Linked DNA regions of Mus musculus: regions 1, 2, 3 and 4 are each reported to be linked to region 5. The links are microRNA targets in miRTarBase. Many come from high-throughput screens and were not tested one by one. Region 5 holds a microRNA gene; each other region holds the end of a gene's coding sequence.

Evidence for each region. The annotated mature microRNA mmu-miR-24-3p reads UGGCUCAGUUCAGCAGGAACAG and lies in region 5 at 2,738-2,759, opposite strand. An mRNA with a match to its seed (bases 2 to 7 or 8) in the 3' UTR can be bound and repressed. Matches are read on the target gene's strand: a 7mer-m8 pairs with bases 2 to 8, a 7mer-A1 pairs with bases 2 to 7 and ends in A, and an 8mer does both.
Region 1: miRTarBase lists Fkbp1b as a target of mmu-miR-24-3p. Seed matches in the 3' UTR shown: 7mer-A1 at 764-770.
Region 2: the mRNA of Neurod1 is a reported target of mmu-miR-24-3p. Seed matches in the 3' UTR shown: 7mer-m8 at 2,333-2,339.
Region 3: miRTarBase lists Kansl3 as a target of mmu-miR-24-3p. Seed matches in the 3' UTR shown: 7mer-m8 at 3,542-3,548 and 7mer-A1 at 1,772-1,778.
Region 4: the mRNA of Fam168b is a reported target of mmu-miR-24-3p. Seed matches in the 3' UTR shown: 7mer-m8 at 2,518-2,524.

What each region holds. Positions count from the first base shown.
Region 1 is chr12:4,829,991-4,834,051 of GRCm38, reverse strand. It overlaps Fkbp1b (FK506 binding protein 1b), which reads left to right. Exons shown (of 4, transcript NM_016863.4): 4 at 257-876. The coding sequence ends at 385. Among named protein-coding and RNA genes, the nearest start is that of Fkbp1b, 9.6 kb to the left of the region's middle.
Region 2 is chr2:79,450,580-79,454,640 of GRCm38, forward strand. Neurod1 (neurogenic differentiation 1) reads right to left here. Exons shown (of 2, transcript NM_010894.3): 2 at 2,058-4,061. The coding sequence ends at 3,385. Among named protein-coding and RNA genes, the nearest start is that of Neurod1, 4.0 kb to the right of the region's middle.
Region 3 is chr1:36,334,018-36,338,078 of GRCm38, forward strand. Kansl3 (KAT8 regulatory NSL complex subunit 3) reads right to left here. Exons shown (of 22, transcript NM_001310513.1): 22 at 1,713-3,634. The coding sequence ends at 3,614. Among named protein-coding and RNA genes, the nearest start is that of Mir6898, 13 kb to the right of the region's middle.
Region 4 is chr1:34,814,469-34,818,529 of GRCm38, forward strand. It overlaps Fam168b (family with sequence similarity 168, member B), which reads right to left. Exons shown (of 7, transcript NM_174997.2): 6 at 3,529-3,658; 7 at 1-2,936. The coding sequence ends at 3,546. Among named protein-coding and RNA genes, the nearest start is that of Gm32790, 24 kb to the left of the region's middle.
Region 5 is chr8:84,207,568-84,211,633 of GRCm38, reverse strand. It overlaps Mir24-2 (microRNA 24-2), which reads right to left and starts at 2,819; the gene lies at 2,713-2,819. It overlaps Zswim4 (zinc finger SWIM-type containing 4), which reads left to right. Exons shown (of 14, transcript NM_172503.3): 14 at 1-692. Mir23a (microRNA 23a) reads right to left here and starts at 3,116; the gene lies at 3,042-3,116. Mir27a (microRNA 27a) reads right to left here and starts at 2,962; the gene lies at 2,876-2,962. It also overlaps Mir3074-2.

The sequences.
Region 1 (4,061 bases), not on the chromosome of region 5:
TAACACTGGTTGCTTGGATGAGGCTGAGGCTACTTTGTGGCTGTTAACTGCCCTATAGTCAGGGCTATTTTGAGACAGAATCTGCATGTTTAAGATCTTAGCTAAAGTTTAGTGTGCCCCCAATACAATTAATCTCAGATCTTTGGAATTACCCTAAAGATGGTTTTGGGGGAAATGCCATAGTTATCTTACTTTTTTCTTTTAAATCAAGCTGGGTCCTCTTTCTCCTCTCCCCATCTGCCCCCATCCCTGCTAGATGAGCTTGGGGCAGAGGGCGAAGCTGACCTGCACCCCTGATGTGGCCTATGGAGCTACCGGCCACCCCGGTGTCATCCCTCCCAATGCCACCCTCATCTTTGACGTGGAGCTGCTCAGCTTAGAGTGAAGGCAGGAAGGAAATCGAGGTGGCTGGAGATGGCCCCTGCTCTGTCCTAGCCTGCTCTCTCTGCCACTGGGACGGCTCCTCCTATGTAGGGCTCTTGATCAGTGTGCTGACCCCACCGCCCCTCCACATTATCTGTCCTCTCTACCCATCGTGCTCTCTCTGTGTCAGCCATTTAATCATCCCCACACACCTCTGCTTGAGAAAACCTTAGTTCAGATCCAGACATTTCAGACTGCACATTTTGTGTGATGCATGTAGTAGCCATTCCTGATCATAGGACACAGATCTTGTTTGCACAATCTATATTGCCTTACCTGCACTTAAGCCAGACATACAAGGTGCTCAGACATGTGCTGTACATGGTTACATGGAGGGACTTGAGCCAGTTACCTTTGCTGTCATTTCTTATCTTCTGTTGGCTGCTCACTTTAAGCACTGCCCTCTGGAAATAATATGTAAAATAAAGGCTCTGTACTTGGCGTCTTCCTGTTCATCGTGTTGTGGGAGGTTCTTTAATGACACACAAGCCAACTGCCCTTGGTGAAAAAGAGTGAAAGGGGACTTCCAAGTGGCTGAGAATGTATATAACAGCTTCCTGAACAAACTGCGCGTGCCAGACCTGTGGTGAACCTTTAGACAGAGTGACAGAGCCCAGGCTGACCTAGAGCTCCCTAGCCAGCCTCCTGGCTGCTGGTATTACAGGTGCATATAGATTACTACCAGGTCTAGTTTTACTTTTTAAATAAAATTATCACAAATCCTCTAAGCAACTTTGGAAGTTAGCTTCTACCCTACTAAGCTCACCAGCTCGGAGTCCTCTGCATAAATAACCCAGCATCCTAGGAATTCCATGTGGGATTTGATCTCCCAGGGTGGCCCTGCAATTTCATGTTTGAAGAGATTGAGGGAAGAGCCTCCCTCACTAGACAGGAGCTGTGTGCACCTGAGCACATGAATATGTTAAAGGCTTGAAACCTTGGACTCACTCACTCTGGGGACCAATTTTTGAAAAAAAAAAAAAAAAGTGTGGTTCTAGGCTTGTTTTCATAGGCAACACTTTGTTACATCTGGATTTGCTCTAGTTTACCTTGAAGAATTCTGATAACAATGTAGAATGTGTGTATGTGTGTGTGCCACAGTGTGCCCGAGTGTGCCCAAACGCAGGTGCGATCCTCAGGAGCCATCAATCTTTCATTTATTTACTTATATATTTATTTGAGACAGGATCTCACTGTGTAGCCCAGGCTGGCCTTGAACTCAAACGAACAGAGATTTATCTGCCTCTGGCTCCCAAGTGTTGGGATTAAAGGTGCACTGGTTTGCATTGTGTAACATTCTGTGAAGGATATGGACCACAGTTGGGGCTATTTTATCTACCATTCATCCCCGGGAAGCCATGCATGAATCCCTCTGCTGAGGCCGAGGGCTTCACGAAAAGGTAGTGCTTTGGATGAAATGATGAATGGAAAAGACTTACCTTGCTTTTACTCATCCATAGCCAAAGGATGCTGTACCCATTCCTTCTTGGGGTATCTCCTCTGGAATGATCTGCTTCCTTACTCTCCTTGACGACTCCAATACCTAGAATTCCTCAGAACTCAGTCTGTACAGAAGACACAGCATGCTGTCTGCTGTGACACCAACAAGATGAGCAAAAATGACACCAAAGACTATTTCATGGTGCAGGGCACACAAAAGATCTGTCCATGGTAGTAGAGCCTGGGTGGCAAGAGGCTATAATGCCACCTACTAAGAAACCCTAAAACTGCACATTTACTAGCTAGCACCTGAAGGATGCATGAGGCTTTACAGGTAAGCTGAGAAATGACTGCTTTCTCAAGTCTTTGGAATTAAATGATATAGAAAATCATGACACATGCCAAAGATGGTATCCCGAGAGAGCCATTAAAGGTTGGTAAGCTATAGACCAGCATTTAGATCCATGTCCTATCAGTTGTTTTCAAACTGCTGCTAAATCAATCTCATGCGTTGTTAGAAACTTGACTCAGCTCACTGAAAGCAAACAACTAGGACACACCTGCCCAGGTGAATCCGGGGACACCATTTGCCCCACTTTCTGTCCTTTGAGAAAGAAGTTCACTGAGTAGCCTAGGCTGGCCTCAAATGTACGACTCTCCTGCTTCTGCCTCTTGAACGTTTGGCTTATGGGTGTGTGCCACTGGCCACCATGTTCAGCTCTGCCCCTTACACCTAGCTTGGTTTAAAAAACTGAACTTTAGATGGCTGGTACCCAAGACAATCATCAACTAGAACCCTAGATTTAGCAATGCACCCCCTGCAGAGAGGCTCAGTGTGTGGTGTGTCTAAGTGCTTGTAATTAAATCACAGAATTCCAAACAATCAGAAGTGAATTTGTTTTCTGTAGTGATGGCTCCAAAAGCCCTCTTCTATTGAGCTATAACCCCAGCCCTAATTTAAAACTCAACTTCGGTGCTGGGCGTGGTGGCGCACACCTTTAATCCCAGCACTTGGGAGGCAGAGGCAGGTGGATTTCTGAGTTTGAGGCCAGCCTGATCCATAGAGTGACAGCCAGGGCTACACAGAGAAACCCTGTCTGGAAAAACAAAACAAAATTCAGTGAAATTCAGTGAATAGACACATAATCCAATGATGTGACTGTCCTTAACTGCTAACAGAAGACGTTTTCCTGGTCATTCACACTATTGGTAGTGCCACTCTCATGACAGTCTAATTTCAGTTGTCTCGACAAAGGGGTCTTTCAGAACACCATCTCTGTCTGCAAACACCTAAGCTATAGTGGGCAGTACAGAATTATTAAGGAAATCCACATAAAGGCACTCACAGGAGTTATGGCCTTGGCCTCTTTATCTGCCCACTCTTCTTAGAAAGGACTTTTTGCTGCCTATGGTGCCATGGTGGTTCGTGCCTTTAATCCTAGCACACAGGAGGCTGAGGCCAATATATCTCTGAGTTTGAGGCCAGCCCGGACTGCAGTGAGTTCCAGACAGCCAAGGAAACCCTGTCTTAAAATGGGTTGGGGGTAGAGTTAACAGTGCTGTCTAAAACTACTTGGACATAGTAATTTTTCTTCCTCCTCCTCTTCTTCTTCTTCCTCCTCCTCCTCCTTCTTCTTTTCCTCTTCTTCTTTTCCTCCTCCTCCTCCTCCTCCTCCTCCTCCTCTTCTTCTTCTTCTTCTCTTCTTCTTCTTCTCCTCCTCCTTCTTCCTTCCCCCTCTTTCCCCCTCCTTCCCCCTCCTTCTTTCTCCTTTTCCTTCTCCTTCTTCTTCTCCTCCTCTTTCCAAGACATAGTTTCTCTGTGTATCCCTGGCTGTCCTGGAACTCACTCTGTAGACCAGGCTGGCCTCAAACTCAGAAATTTGCCTGCCTTTGCCTCCCAAGTGCTGGGATTAAAGGCATGTGCCACCATGCCCAACAATTTCTTCATTTCTGAGTGAGTTTTGAAAAGGCAGTACAAAACCTAGAAAGTAGCCTATTTCCTTAAAAGTAATAACAGACTTTAAATGCATTTAAAAGTAGCCACTGACACTAGTCCGTCTATGTAGCCTTCAAAGTGATTCTAGATTCTGAGTATACAAAACGATCAGTCCGCACATCTCCACCTGGCCCATGCCTGAACCATAAAAAGAAAATTTATACCTACTCCTAAGCTGTCAAGCCACAACGAATGTGACAAT
Region 2 (4,061 bases), not on the chromosome of region 5:
CATAAGGATTAAGCAAACATAAAGACTGTAAAAGTATCTTTAAAATGTGCTTAACAATTCATAAAAGAAATGAAGGAGATAATTTAAAAGATTTCTTATGGTTTGAAAATGCATTCCAAATATTCATTAAACATTTGAGTGAGTAAATGTGTAGAATATGTTTCTGACATTGGCGCTGGTTTGGTGGTATTTCTCTGATCAGATGGAAGTGCTATGCGTTATGCAGGGTGCATGCAGTTCATTCATGCATAAACAATATCATTTTCATAAATTAAAACCTTCCCTGCAGAAGGAACATCTGTGCCTGCCTTTGAATAAAAGATGGTGGCATGTGAGTTACTCCCTGACTGACTGAAAGAATCCCTACGCCTTTAGAGTGAAATTTTAAACACACACAAAATGAAAAAGAAAAAGAGTGAAGCAGAGCCTTCATCCTTCACGCCTACCTCTAATGAAACCCATAGTCTAGATTCTTTTGCTTCCCATTTTAAATGTTGTGATTCTAGAAACACCACCCTTGGTTCTTCTGTTGACTCTAGCAACAGTTTTTAGTTTGCATGGAGATGTCTAATTTTAATTACAGGTGAAACTGAGCTGCTTAATAGATCAGATCAGATCTGAATGTTCACTTTATGGTTTCCTGTGCTGGGAGGCTGAAGGATTCTGCTATCAGTATTGTGTCTCCTAAAGTCAATGGTGAGAAAAATCCAGGCTAGGAAGCAACAGCTTGATTCCAAAATAACTGCTCTGATTCACTTGGAAAGAGACAACTACATTTGGGGTAAAGTTGGGACCAGCTTTAATGTATTTCTGTGTGTGATAAAGGCTGGTAGAAAACATTATTTTAAATTACATTAATTTTTTTGAATGTTGAAATATCCCTTACTGCTACTGTCACAGCTTGATGGGGCCTCGTTGGCAACGTTATTACTATGGCTAATTGTTCCTGTCTATTAGATTACTCACGTTTTTCTGGAGCAGCTTACTAAATAAGGTCAGTTTTCTGGAACCCTTAAGCCACCAACGAGAAGGAGATTAAAGGAACATGCTTGCAAGGGAGGTAGGCATCCAATGTGGTATCCGAATCAGAGAAGGAACAATGACAGCAATCAGAATCACAGTAGAGACAATACAACTGCCAAAATGCTATTCCATAAAAATCAAGACTGTCAGTCATTTCTCATGGGAAGGGAAATGCCAAACTATTTATTAAGTAGACTTACCAGAAGTTAAGTTGGTGTGGTGTGGTGTGGTGTGGTGTGGTGTGGTGTGGTGTGGTGTGGTGTGGTGTGTGTGTGTGTGTGTGTGTGTGTGTGTGTGTTTATAAAATCAAAATATAAAATAGCAGGACTGTACAGAAAACTGTGGAGTAATATACACTCCTAAAATAGAACACAAATAGTATATACTTATGTACCAAAAGCTCACTAGCACTTTAGTGGAACAATTAGTGAAGACATCCCAAACACTTAATAGAACCATTATAAAATGCCTCATCTTTTGGGAGCCTTTCAATTAATTAAATAATTTTCCTACAATATCAGATATATAGTTTGGAGTGCAGGACTGTTTGAAAGAAAGCTATCTAGTTCAGGAAAGATACAGATAACAGAACAGTGAGAAAATATTCAATTTTGTTTATGCTTTAAATATGTATAAACAAATTAAACTAAGGTATTTGCTTATGTCTTGCTAGTTAATACTTAAGTAAATCCGCCTGAAAAATAAAAGAAACTTCTAACAATCATTTCAACAAACAGAGACAAACAAACAAACAAAGAGAGTAAAGGTGAAGACGTTTCACCTTTAGAAAACCAGAGTTTTTTGTCCAGCTTACTCTGTGCTCAATACTCCAAATAATAAAACAGAGGCGAGGTCTGTTTGTTATCTGAGAAGCCAGTGACCCTCTAAGCAAGATAACAGACTAAGCACAGGACAAGCTCAACTCTATATTTTATTCCTAATGTTTAACATTTAACTCAGCAAATACAGACGTTGATCCTCCTCGCTACAATTTTACTCTTTAAAATCCACTTTCGAAAGAAATGAAACAATTGTTTTGATTTTCCATACTATTTTTATTGCAACTGCATGGGAGTTTTCTAAATTGTGCATTACACCATAATACACAGGATTACAAACAAGATTACAGTACATGTCAATTCCAGTAGTACCAGCATCACATCTCAAACAGCACTTATTCTGGACTGCATTTTACATGCAACAGCTATTGTTCTAATTATGAATTCGATGGTTTGAATTTTATTTAAACTACTGTACTAACTGACTACACAGGTATAAAAACCCAACATTAACAACCTGAATAAATTTAGGCTCAGATTTATTACATGAATAGATGACAAACCACCATTTGTTTGACTATGTATAAAATCATGCATTTATATTTTCTGGAAACATCAATATCTTCAAACACTCCGTAAAATCATGGAATTCAAAGAAGTAAAAGACTAAAAAGAAAGAGTGCAAATTGTATGTGATAGTCAAGCAGCTTTTGATTTAAAGGAGTGTGTGTTGGCATTTATTTATAATATGTATTTACAAGCTTGTGCAAGTAATGAATTGATGTGTTTTGATAAGGAATGCATTTCGGTTTTCATCCTCTTGAGTGTTATGGGTCTGGTTTCTATTTTAGGGAGCGAGCAGGAAAAACTTTAAAGTGAGATGAATTGCTCAAATTGTGCAATTTGTTGGTTTTTTTTCTTTTCTTTTCTTTTTTACAATTAGAGAAGAAAGAAGTGCTAAGGCAACGCAATAACTTTCTAAGCACTTTTCTGCTGGTTTAAATTAGTTAAATTATTTTGTATAAATTAGATATAATTCTACTTTTCTGATATGTATAAAAATTGATGAAGCTGCATGGTTTTAAAATAGGAAATCCACGTTATAAAAAGTCATTAAAAATTCTGTACAAAATCACAACAAAATAATTCAGCATGGGAAAGGTCACAGGTAGTAAAATGCTGGTTGAAAAATATATATTTATATATATTTTAATTGGCCCATTACTAGTTTAAAAATTGCATAGATCCTAATTATTGCTTGTGATTTTTTTTATCCCGATCAGATAATTAATACGATCTGAATACAGCTACACGAAATTCGTGGTACACATTTTCTTTTTTACTTTACTGTATTATTATTTTTAAAATAGAAGAGCTATAGAAAACAATACATAAGGTGAACAGGAACTTTGATCCCCTGTTTCTTCCAAAGGCAGTAACGACAATAAATACATATATCACTTGAAGCTTTGAGTATTTGCACTTTGCAGCAATCTTAGCAAAAGGGCTGCCTTCTGTAAACAGGACAGTCACTGTACGCACAGTGGATTCGTTTCCCGGGAATAGTGAAACTGACGTGCCTCTAATCGTGAAAGATGGCATTAAGCTGGGCACTCATGACTCGCTCATGATGCGAATGGCTATCGAAAGACATAATGTTGTCTATGGGGATCTCGCAGCGAGGGGCAGCGGCACCGGAAGAGAAGATTGATCCGTGGCTTTGGGGCCCTGCCAGCGTCGCTGCAGGGTAGTGCATGGTAAAGGCATAATTTTTTTCAAACTCGGCGGATGGTTCGTGTTTGAAAGAGAAGTTGCCATTGATGCTGAGCGGCGGGCTGAGGGGTCCGTCAAAGGAAGGGCTGGTGCAGTCAGTTAGGGGGCTTTCAAAGAAGGGCTCCAGAGCTGCGCTGTAGGCGTGTGGCGGCGGCTTGACGTGGAAGACGTGGGAGCTGTCCATGGTGCCGTAGGGCGGGCTGGGCAGTCCAGGGGACTGGTAGGAGTAGGGATGCACCGGGAAGGAAGCGCTGGCGGTTGGCAGATGCGGGGGCATGTCCGGGTTCTGCTCAGGCAAGAAAGTCCGAGGGTTGAGCTGCAGGCAGCCGGCGACCAAATTGGTAGTGGGCTGGGACAAACCTTTGCAGAGCGTCTGTACGAAGGAGACCAGATCAGGGCTTTTGCCTGAGCGCAGGATCTCTGACAGAGCCCAGATGTAGTTCTTGGCCAAGCGCAGTGTCTCTATTTTAGACAGTTTCTGGGTCT
Region 3 (4,061 bases), not on the chromosome of region 5:
TTTCGAGACAGGGTTTCTCTGTATAGCCCTGGCTGTCCTGGAACTCACTTTGTAGACCAGGCTGGCCTCGAACTCAGAAATCCGACTGCCTCTGCCTCCCGAGTGCTGGGATTAAAGGTGTGCACCACCATGCCCGGCTTACACTACCACACAGCAGAAGGGCTCAGTAGGAACTGGATTAGGCGACTGGATGCAGTAAGAGCTAGCTCCTAAATGGGCTCAGGTCAATGGAGTTGTTTTTGGATTTTGAACTGCTAGATGGAGATCCATCAAGGAATCCATACTAGACAGTCCTATGACAACAGGAAAAAAAAATCTAATTCTGAGGGGCTGGAGAGACGGCTCAGCAGTTAAGAGCATACAGAAGGCAGGAAGTTATATAAGTTCTGTGCCAGTCTGGGCTGAGCAAGAACCTTTTCAAAACAAGGAGCTGATGAGTCCCACTTAAGGAAGTCAACGAGTCTCTGCCTCTTCCAACTACCAGTCCTAAACACATGCTTAGAAAAGATAAAAGGGAACAAAGACTTGTTCCATCTTTTAAGACTTATATATATGAGTACACTGTAGCTGAACAGGTAGCTGTGAGCTTTCATATGGTTGTTGGGAATTGAATTTTTAGGACCTCTGCTCGCTCCGGGCAACCCTGCTCACTCCGGCCCAAAGATTTGTTTATTATTATATTATGGGTGGTTGTAAACAAACATGTGGTTGCTGGGATTTGAACTCAGGACCTTTGGAAGAGCAGTCACTGCTCTTACCCGCTGAGCCACAGCACCACGTTCCATCTTAACTGTCTCCACCAGAGATCTAATGCCAAGGCAGGCCTTAGATTCTCTGTGTAGCTAAGCTGACCACTGCTTCTGCCTCCTGAATGCTGGGGTTCCAGGTATTTACTGGCACATTCAACTGTCTCTCCCTTTATAGGTGACAAAGAGCTGTGGGCTGATGTCTGTCCTGGGAAGACCAGAAGTACCTAAGGATCAAAGGGGGTGGAGGAGGAGGTCCCTCTTGCTACAGAAACAAAAGTAACCTTAAGGTTAGAATTCACTTACCAACCTTTTTTTTTTTTTTTTTTTTGGAGTCAGGGTTTCTCTGCATAGCCCTGGCTGTCCTGGAACTCACTTTTTAGACCAGGCTGGCCTCAAACTCAGAAATCCGCCTGCCTCTGCCTCCCAAGTGCTGGGATTAAAGGCGTGTGCCTCCACTGCCCCACTTACCAACCTTTAAGTACTTATCTTAGAGTCAAAGGTGCAAATTCACCTTTGTTAGGACAAACAGCAAGAGATCCCACCCCTCCCCCCCTATCTCCCAATGGGCCTAGTGGGAACTCTACTCAAGCAAAGTCAATCACTCTTGGCCTGATGGGAAAACTGAAAAGGGTCACATTCTCTTCACTTCCTAGGCTAGTCTCCATTTCTGGTCTTCCATTTCAGAACCCAGAACGGACATCAGCCAGAACCTCTTCCCCACCTATAAAGGGAGTGAAAGATGGGGTGGAGGTATATGCCTGTAATCCCACGGCTCAGTACGCAGAAGCAGAAGAACTGGGAGTTAAGGCCAGTTTAGCTGCACAGTGAATTTTAGGCCTGTATACAGTGCCCAGGCCTCAGAGCCCCGGATGACCTTAGGCACCACCCATCACTCCATCTAAAGTCTGGCTGGAGGCAATTCCCAAAGCATGCAGAACCAAATGAAAACAAGCTGAAGCAACGCAAAGTTCAATGTTTTGTATTTTATTCTTTTTGCTAACGTAAGATCAGAAACATTGCTCTGGCTCACTTCTATGAATTCATCCAACCCAAATTATTATAGTGATACAACCAAAGGTTGCTGTCTTTGCTCCTCAGTGACCTCTTCCACTGGGCATTTACAAGCCCTCTGTTGCCTGAAAGAGAATGTAAAGCCTTCCTGACCCTTCCACATACTCATAAGAGTACTACCTTCTGAGGCTACACCCTCAAGTCTGCCACGAGGTGGGTGGGGTGAAGTGTCTCTCCACATTCCAACTGCTGTGGTTTGAGATGGGACCCGAGGAACATGGTCTACAGACTCCAGTCACCTCCTCGTTGGTCAGTCCCTCAAAGGTGACAATCAGTGTGCTGCAGCTCCCCCTCCTCAGTTTTGCAGTTCTTCAAGGTATGTAAGCCATGCCTCAGAAGTCACCCATGGGATGCACACAGATAAACCACCAAAGCAGGATACAGGTTTTCTTTGGTTCCAGAACACAGGGGCAGCATCTTTCAGGAGCAGCCCTCCAGTGTTGCTCAAGTTGTTCTCCTAAGTCACAAAGGGTTGTTCAGGGTCCTCTGCCAACTTAATCCCTAAAGGTTTCACAGACACTCCCAGTCTTATCCTCTCTTTTGGTGGTTATATGCTCTGACCTATGAAGCTATCAAGGCCCCAGCGCTAGGCGCGCCTCATCCAGATTTCATACCTTCTCAAATTCTCTGAATGCCTTCTGAATTTCAGAATACAGCTCCACTCTGTGAACCACTGAGTGCAACTCCACAGCCAAGGCGAGGTGTGGAGACTGGAGACCTCTCTCGTCCTATCACACGTCTCTGACCTGACTTGCCTGAGGCTCCTCCACACTGTGTCCACTCAGACTATAGGTGAGAGGGCTTTGGTGTAGCTGTATATGGCCCCGTGACCAAAATCACACTTGCGTTGCTTTATTTCTCATCTTAACAGAAACTTTCTAAGTATGAAAGGGAAAGGAGCCGGCTCTGAACATCAGCTCCATCTGCAGTGTCACAGGGAATGAGAGGCTCTGCTCCATCGTCAGTGCCCACATCACCAGGACCACGGTCTACAAGACTCAGGCTGGCCCCAGAGCCTCACACAGTAGTCAACAACCTTTCCACTTCTAAGCAGAAAGGCAGAGTTCTAAGAAAGGAGACAAACTTTGAAGCACAGCCTTCCCTGTCCTAGTGCCCCAAGCTTCCTACAACAGCAGAGATAGCATGGTAGCTGGTCAATTGCTTCATTGCCAGGCAGCACACAAGACTCTCGGGGATTTGCGGTTTCCCTGACTTGGTAAATTCCATTTCTCTAGCTCTTCTTAGGCCCTCAAGTGTCATGCAGAGCTCCAAGCCCGAGCTGCCAGCAGCATAGGGCCCTTGGGTGTGCCTTGCCAACTACTTCCTTTGCCGTCCACCCCTCTTTTTGGACCTACAGGCTCTCTTCTACAGGCGATTGCACAAAATGTTGTGAGGAAGAGGAAGGGGCCAGCCATCACATGGTAACCACCATTCCCCACATCTTAGAGCAGCTAAGGGCTGGCAGCTGACAGCCCACTTCTTCCTGCCTTCATCATGAAACTGCAGTGAGCCGTTCTATACTGACACTGGGGTCAAACTACATCAGTGTTGGGGTAGAAATGCCAACTATCCAACTATGCCAGACCTGGGGATCCCAGGAACCAACTTGCTGGCCTTACATCACCTGGCCTAATGTTTTCTCAAGCCAGAGGCCCAGCCCCAAAGACAGCTAGTAGAGAGCTGAAAATGGCTGTCTTAAGGATGTCTTCAGATACTCAGCCGGCTCAGCAGGACCACACGGTTCACCTTGAGGCAGTTTTCACCAACCTGGTAAGGACATTTTGCTGGCATACTCAGGGTGCTGGAGGCAGGCGCTGTGGCAGAAGGGTGAAAAGGGGTCAAAGTTTAGCCAGACTAGACCCCTCCTCTGACCCAATCATCCCACTCCCAAGAATGCAAGCCAATGTAATGATCAATAGGAAATAAGACGCTCTGCTCTGCTCTGCTCTGGTGTTATTCATGTAAGAGAACTTGGATTCTACAGTCAGGCCCACTGGGGTACAACTTGGGGTAAGGACTCACTAGCGCAGAGGCTCTGTGAGCTTCCCTCTCACCTGGGACACAAATGACAGCACCTGCTTCCCAGGAATACTGCAGGAATTAAGTAAGATAACCTGCATAAAGCATCAACAGTATAATTCACGCTCAACCACAAACATCAGCTCTTGGTTGTATTTATCACACCCAAGGACAGGAAAGGAACACAGAGAATAGGAAACAAGTACAACACTAGACAAACTG
Region 4 (4,061 bases), not on the chromosome of region 5:
GCCACTCAACAGTTCCTCCAAGGAAGACCACAACACAGAGACAACAGTTGCAGAGGCCGCTTCCATGCCTGTAGCCTAACTGACCCAATCCTGATGGTGGTGGGTTTGCTTCTCCAGAGTCAAGGAGCTTACAGTTTCCAATACTCCACAACTCTAAACTGCAAGCAGCAGCAGCCGAGGAAGGAAGGCCCCTAGCCTCAGGGACGGCAGCAGAAAATAAACTTGATATATATAGATATATCTATATATCTCCTTAACAACGATGTCAGTGTCCATAGGGATCAGACTCTCTGCCTGCCTGTCAATTCAGCTGAAGGACTCTAGTCAGGAATGTCACACTCATAGAAAGCACACTGTCTTGGAATGTTCCTCAATGTTTTGGGATACCTGTACAGCCATGTAGTAGAATACTGACCCAATTCTGTTCCTTATTTTTACTGAAACTGAATGTTGTTAAAGTCACCCCCTGTGACAGTTCACTACCATCCATATACCCAGATTTTCACCTGGTAAGCTCTCTCACCAGCAGATCCCACAGTGATGACCTGATAGCTTCAAAACAGACAAGATTTCCACCCAGCCGAGTTGTACACTACAGAGGTGTTTGGTAGTCACTCCATTTCAACAGTTCCAGGGCAAGTGTGTGAGGCTGATGTGATCAGCAGGAGGGCAGCAGCCCCTCCCTCTCTCTTGAGAACTCAGGGCCTGTGCATACACACACACTGTGTGTTGCTGCAAGTAGGCTCAAAGACTTGGTAACTTCCTGCTGTAGGCAAACAACTCTACCCTTTCCAGGCAGGGAGATAGCCATGTTTAGTTGGGGATGGATAAGGGGACTTTTTCAAACACGTGAAAATCACAGGTACATTTGTTCTAAAGAAATCCCCTTCTGTCTGATGAGTCCAGAGAAAACTTGGAAATCCCAACCCTGCAAGTCACTCAGCACAGGGACGGGATCCCAACATGGAAGTACGGGTGCAGGCTGTGTGCTCCAGCAAGCGTGTCTATCTCTGTGCAGGGTGTGCTTGCTGGTGCTACCCCTCTCCCCATGCACGCGCACATCCAAGCACACACACACACACGCACGCACGCACGCACACATACACACACACACACACCTAAGTGCTCATGAGGCAATTAACCATAATCATCCATAAACTTTCTATGTTCATAGACATAAGGAATGAGGAATCTTCTGTTCACACTGATCCATGCAGCAACCTTCCTAAACTTCTCAAAAAATAAAATGCTTAAAAAAAAACTATGGAGAGCATTACTATAAAAATAAGGTCACCGAAGGTTCCATATTCAGGTGACCCAGCCTCTAGCCAAGTTGACTGCTACTGAGGCAACCTCTACACCAACATGGAAGCCCTGACTTAGCTGCCAGAGACAAGCACCCCTTCCAACCAAAGCCCCAGGAATTCAATGGGGCTGACAAAAGATACAAAGCTCACCCCCAGTTGACAGAGCCCAGAGAGGTCCTCGTGCCCTGCCCTTTGACCCACACTGAACAGAAACACTCTCACAGATTCAAGTCGGGCACACTCAGGCAGAAAGAACTTTTGTGGTTTCTTATGTACACACTCAAAATCTTTCCCACCACAGAGCCTTCCAAGCAAGAGCACTCCTGAACTGCCTGGCCCTTTCTGCTTTCCACATCTGCTTGGTACTGAGTGCCTTCAGTGACAGCAGAGTGGCTTCCGCAGGTTTCCGCAGGCTTCCCGGGCCTCACCCCGCTAGTTACAGAGAGCATCCTCAGGTGAATGGCCCCAAGACAAGCTACATTATTTCTACATTTTTACACATCATCACAGCCCTGCTTCTCTACAAGAAACATGAGGAACTAACTTAAAAATACACTTATTCCCTTGTAACCAGTCTTAAATGTACAACACTCTTCACAGCACACAGCTGAAGTCTTTGTGGGAGAATACAGCAGTGCCCATGTCTTTAGGTGACTCAGTTATTCTCAGGGGGAAAAAAAGGAATGGTTCCCTAAGCAAAATAAAGCAAAAGACAACACTGCCTCAGTGTGGCTGCTTCTCTTTGACATCTTCCCTCCTAGGAAGACAGTTTACTTCTACAATGGACTTTCCCAACAGTCCCAACAGATACAGAGAACGTTATCCTGTAAGACATACAGAGAAAACTCGGATGGCAGACCCTGCTCTGACACACAGACCACTCCTCACCCCAGCTGGACTCGTCACCAAGCTCCTGTATTTCCTGATAAGCTTCAGGTAGACCCCTGTTCTGCAGAGCACACTCCAGCTGAAATGAAGGAGAGGGACCCCGTCATCCCTGCTGCTGCTGCTGCTGCTGTCTGGAGCTGCTGCAGGTGTGCTCTCTCTCCCCCAGTCCCTGCAGCTCCCTCAGGATCAGTCAGCCAGTGCCAAAAAACCAGGCTGCTGAAAGCTATAGTCTGTGTCCATAACTGGCAACCCCAGCCCCTAAGAGTCCCCTGCAGTCCTCCCCACGCTTCAGTGAGGACATCCCTTGTACAAGTGTAACTGAGGCTCAGCGTACATCGCAGAGGTGCGTGAGGGACAGGACAGGCTGTGAACGTGGTCCAGTCCTTCGGGTTTTGCATATGATGGTTTTGCATCAGTCACTGCAGGTAGATTGAGCAAGCTTTGTTTTTGTTTGTTTTTATAAACATGCATTCAACTAGATATGATTCAGAATAGAGTAATACTCCCTTTTTATCATTACAGTTAGCTAAAAAATTTGCCAGGCAGTCCACAAAACAGGATTTGCTTTAAAACCAACCCAGAGTTAGTTGGAGACTAGCGAGCTGGGACCTGCTGGGCTGGGGCGCAGTCATGTTTAGCTAAGTGTCGGAGCAGTAAGAAGAAAGTCCTGGTTGGAGGCACAAGGCCTGCAGCACCAGCTGTGGAACTCAATGAAGTGACTGCACAGCTCCATCCTCAAATCTGGGAAAGAATAACAACAGTCAGACAGGCTCTTGGCACTTGTGCTTTACCAGTTCCAGAAGGCAGCGGTACCCAAAGCTGCGCCACCTGGTTCCCACCCACCTTACAGCAACACCCTGTGCCCCCTGCCCCATTATACCTGGAGCCCTACACACTGCACTACAGAAGCAGCAAGACAAACAGTTAGCACTCAATGCCCCCCCTCCCTCTTCCCTTATTGGATGTCCCAATAAGAATAATGACATAATGAGGTAAGGCCTAGGGTGCCATTCGTGGGCGGGTGGGCCGAGGCTGTAAGGGAGGGAGGTGAGCAAGGAGGGCAAGCTGGAGAAGCAAGCCAATCAGCACCCATCCTCACGGCTGTACATCAGTTCCTGCTCAGACTCCCGTTATGATGGGTTGTAACTGTAGTCACTGTAAGCCAGGCCAAGCCACTCTTCCTTTCCCCAAGGTGCTCTCGCTCAGTGTTGTGCCGTATCAAAAGACAGACAAGCATACTAGACCAGTGCTTGTATCTAGTCAGTCTTGCAGTCTCCTCAGAGAAGTGCACCTCAGCAGGGCCCACCTAGCCACAGCCTTCACTAATACTCACATTAATTTGCAGGGCAATCACCACTGTGGGGGCACATAGCTGTAGGTGGGTGTTCCTGGGGCTCGGTATGTGGGGACAGTGACCGGGTGAGGGGCTACAGGAGTTGGAGAATGAGCAGTCAGCAGAGTACCTGGAAGAAAGAACACTTCATAAGGAAGTACAAGCGACTGCTAGAGAGCTCCATCATGTGGTCTCTGAGAGCACATCCTGACCTGACTTTCTCTGGGGAGGCAGGAGGGGAGGGAAGAGGAATGGTCTTGGTCTTGAACCAGAAGGGTCAAACCTCCAAACGGATTATCCAAAATGATGAAAGGCATTATTAGTGCAGCAGTCGGTGGTCATAGCATGCTTGTAAATCCTCTTCAGACTAAGCACACGAATTTTGGCAGATCACATGACTACAAAATGAAAATGTGAATCCACGCCCCTTAAACAGGAAGGGCTTCTGATACATGAGCAGCGGAGGTGAATGTGGAGACAGTGTGCTAAGTGAGGAAGGACGGTGTGTGTCCCCACTCACGCGAAGTGCTCAA
Region 5 (4,066 bases):
CTCAGTGCAGCAGATGCTCCAGAGCCGGAGCTGGCCGGAGCCTAGGCACTTCACATCAGGGTAGTTACTTCCCACTGTGTTTCTCCCCTCTCCACAGCTCAGGGCTCCTGTCCCACTGCCCTGCGCCCCCAGCCCCAGCTTTCCAGCACAAATGCCTCACCCCACTGAAGGATATTAAGAGGTCTTGGGCCTCTGCCACATACCTCACCCCCAAATACCCTTGTCAAGCCAGGGCCTGTCTTCTCTTGGGCACCAAGGTCACAGGGTAGGCTGGGGACAGCTCTCTGCTGGCCAGACCCCACCACTAGTAACTGGATACACAACTCAGGAGTCAGGCTGCCCTCCAGCCTGTTGTGGGAGGCACAGGCAGACAGCCAGGGACCCCGTTCTGTCTTCCTCTTGCTCTGCACCTCCATTTGTTTCCCCACTCCCTTAGTTTCCCCATGTCTGCATCTCTCTCAAGTCCCAGCTGCTGACAGGCCTTCCTGTATCCCAGGCCTTGGCCCAGGGAGGAAGAGAAGGGAGAGCCTCCACCCCAGACGCACCTGTCTTCTCTCTTGTATATTAAGGAAAAAGTTGGCATCATTTTGTAACTTTTTTTCTTATTTATTGAACCCCATACTGTATTCTTTTCCTTTTTTTTTCCTTTTTTTTTAAAAAAAAGATTGAACACAACTTCTTTTTAACTTCAAGACTGGGTTGCATTGCTAACACAAACACCCGGGGCCAGGGGTACCTACCACCTGCTCAATTAACCAAAAAATTTTCCATCTCGGTTTTTGGGCACAACTTGAATGGGACAGGAGAGGCTGCTGGTTTCTTCATGGCATCGTGGTGACACGAAGAGCCACCTCTTGCTGGTGGCTTTACTGCTTTTCCATCTGCATGTCATAATCTCTGCAAGTCAGGAGGCTTAAAACGCCCAAACCTAGAGTCTGTAGGTTTTTGGAAAATGCACCCAGATTGCACTGTCCTTCATTGCAGGAAATGACCACCAGGGGGCGTCTGGCTCCAGACAACGTCATTCGGAGCTCCGGAGGTCTCACCAGGTGCGGAGGGCAGCTGGGGACGCCTGTGTCCCCAGTGACCTGCCCATTGCATTTTTGGGCTGTGGATGAGACTCCCGTTCTTAGATGGATTCATCCAGCGGACGGCCTGGGCATTCTTCTCATTCTCCGGTTCTTTATGTCCTTAGCTGTGTCTGACAGGGTCATTGTTTAGGACCGTTCTCTTGGAAGCTGTGTGTGTGTGTGTGTTGCCTCTGTGGGGCACTATGGGAGCTGGCTGTGACTATGAGTGTGGCCATAGTTCATGGTGCGTTCCTTTGCTCCAGGGAGCCGATCAGAGGCGATCCGCCCCTTAGCCCTTCTGGCGCAGACGGGCGCGCGCGCGTGCGTGCGTGCGTGCGTGTGTGTGTGTGTGTGTGTGTGTGTGTGTGTGTGTGTAGACGGGCGCGCGCGCGTGCGTGTGTGTGTGCATGCGCGCGTGTCTGTCTGTGCTCGCATATGTGCCCGTCCTTAAGCCCTGTGTGTGTGTGTGTGTGTGTGTGTGTGCATGCGCGCGTGTCTGTCTGTGCGCGCATATGTGCCCGTCCTTAAGCCCTGGCATCTTGCCAGTCAGTGCATCCCAGCATAGGCAGAGTACATTCTTGTAACATACTCCCTCATGGAACTGGGGTGACCACAGATTGGTCTCATACACCCCAGGTCTGGGTTATCCCTCCCGTTCAAGCCATCCCCAAAGGATCCCAGGATCTTCAGGTCGCAGCACCTACTGACCACAGAACTATATTTACACCTTCCTAGAAGCAGGTGGAGCAAGGTTGGGGATAGGTGCAATGCAGGTTAGGAGCCCAGGGTGTGGTAGATATAGTGGTGCAGCTGGTATTCCCAAACTCCAGACACTGGAGGAGTTTGATTCAAGGTCAGCCTGGTCTACACAGAAATGCTGTTTCAAGAGAAATGAAAAAAGCCAGCAACACACATGTGGGAGGCGGGAATGAAGAGACGTCAGCCCTTACGGAATGAGGCTGTGGAGCTTTTATTTAGTTGGAGAACAACATTCAATACAAGCTTTCAACTCTGTTCTTCCACCCAGGCTTCGATTTGCCCCTGCCCAGAGTAGGGAGAGGACACTGTATGGTCTGGGAAGTGTAACTCAGCCAGTTCCAATTAGTCTGCATGCAGTCTCATTTGTGGGTAGTAGGCAACTTTTTAACTTCCAAGCCTGGAGATTACTTCAACAGGCCAATGGGGGGGGGGGGCATGGATCTGTTCATATCCTGAGGCCTGTGTGGACCTCGCTCCCTGCCTCGCTGTCACCAGCAGAAAGCTGCAGACCCCATGGGATTGCTAGGCACACTGGATCAGGTCAGTGCCTTCTTCCGGAAGCAGAGAGTTGGCATTTAACCGTTAGAGGGCCTAAAGCAGCTTCCTCTTGGGTAACTGACTTCAAAGATGGTATGTATAAGGGGTGGTGCCTGAGCCCCACCAGACTTAGGAAAAGAAGGGCTTCCAGGCCCTGAGGGGACATAACTGGCTTTTAATGCAAGGGTTACCCGCCCATCTATCTGCTTTGGGGAACCACAGAAATCTCAAGGTGGACACCCAGATGCAGGCTTAGAGGCTGAGCCTCCAGCAGACAACGGGGCTTAGGTTGGACTAATTACCCCATTGTTTCCAGGTCTTGCTCACGGCAGACATTCTGCAGGGTTGCCAGCTCCTAGGGGGCTGGACTCCTGTTCCTGCTGAACTGAGCCAGTGCACTGGAATCAACTGTTTCAGCTCAGTAGGCACGGGAGGCGGAGCCCGGAGAGAGGCAGAGCCCTGCCAGCCAGGAGGCAGAGCAGGGTGGGCAGCAGCGGCCTGAGGAGATGGGGTCCAGGGGGCGGAACTTAGCCACTGTGAACACGACTTTGCTGTGGACCTTGCTCACAAGCAGCTAAGCCCTGCTCCTCAGGCCAGTTGTCATGATAGGCTTCTCTGTTACCCAGTACCCAAGACAGACATCCTTGGCGACAGGAGCCCCCAAGGCAGAGCACAGGGTCAGTTGGAAATCCCTGGCAATGTGATTTGTGACTGGCATCAAATCCCATCCCCAGGAACCCCAGCCGTCCGAGGCACAGTGAGGGGGGCAGCAGGTGGGAGCGGAGTGTAGCACCTAAAGAGAGAAAGAAGAGACAGTGAGATTGGAGCATTCTTGCTTGCCTGCCTATCTTGACCAGGCTGGGTCTCACATAGCTGAACACAAGGTTTCCGAATGCACCAGTTCTTCCTGCCTCTACCTCTGGAGTCTAGGATTATAGGTACACCTCACCACACACAGTTTAAGTGGTGCTGGGGACAGAATCTAAACTCAGCTTGCTGATCCACACCCTAGCCCTCCTCTACTTCCAAGAGGGAAGAAGCATTCCCAAAAAAGAGGAGCATCGATCCGTAGGAAGGTTGGAGCGAGGCTGCTGGATGCTGGGCACCCAGCAGTGCCTCTACCCCAGCCCTACAAAGCGGGAGGTGCCTGAAGCCCTAAGGCCAAAGGGGCTGCAGAGCCTTCCCAGCTGCTTCCCACTCTGCTTCTATCCCCACCCACAGCCCTGAGCCCAAAGCAGGCCAAATGGGGCCATGGAGAGGAAGCTGAGGGAGGTGGACGGTTGGAGGGAGGAAGTGACCTCACCCCAGCTGGCGCCACTTCCTAGAAGCCTGAAGGGCAGGAGGAAACTCCAGGGCCTCCCACCTCAGCCCTCTCCTCCCCAGCCAGCTCAGACATAACCCCACCCCCACCCCACACCACCTAGGGCCCAAGCAAGGAGAAGCAGGCCGATGCACCCCAACAATAACACCTCAGTAAAGTTTCCCCTAGGCCTTCCAAGCCTCAGTTTCCCCATCTGTAAAGCAGACTACAACAGTTGCAGTTGGTGGCTCACGTTTATCTCAGCATTGAGGAAACTGAGGCAGGAAGGTTGCCAAGAATGGAGTCAAAAGCCTGCTTAAGCTACATGATGAGTTTTAGGCCTAACTGGGCTACAGTTTGAGACCCTAGTCTTAAATAGAAGAAAAACAAAAATAAAACA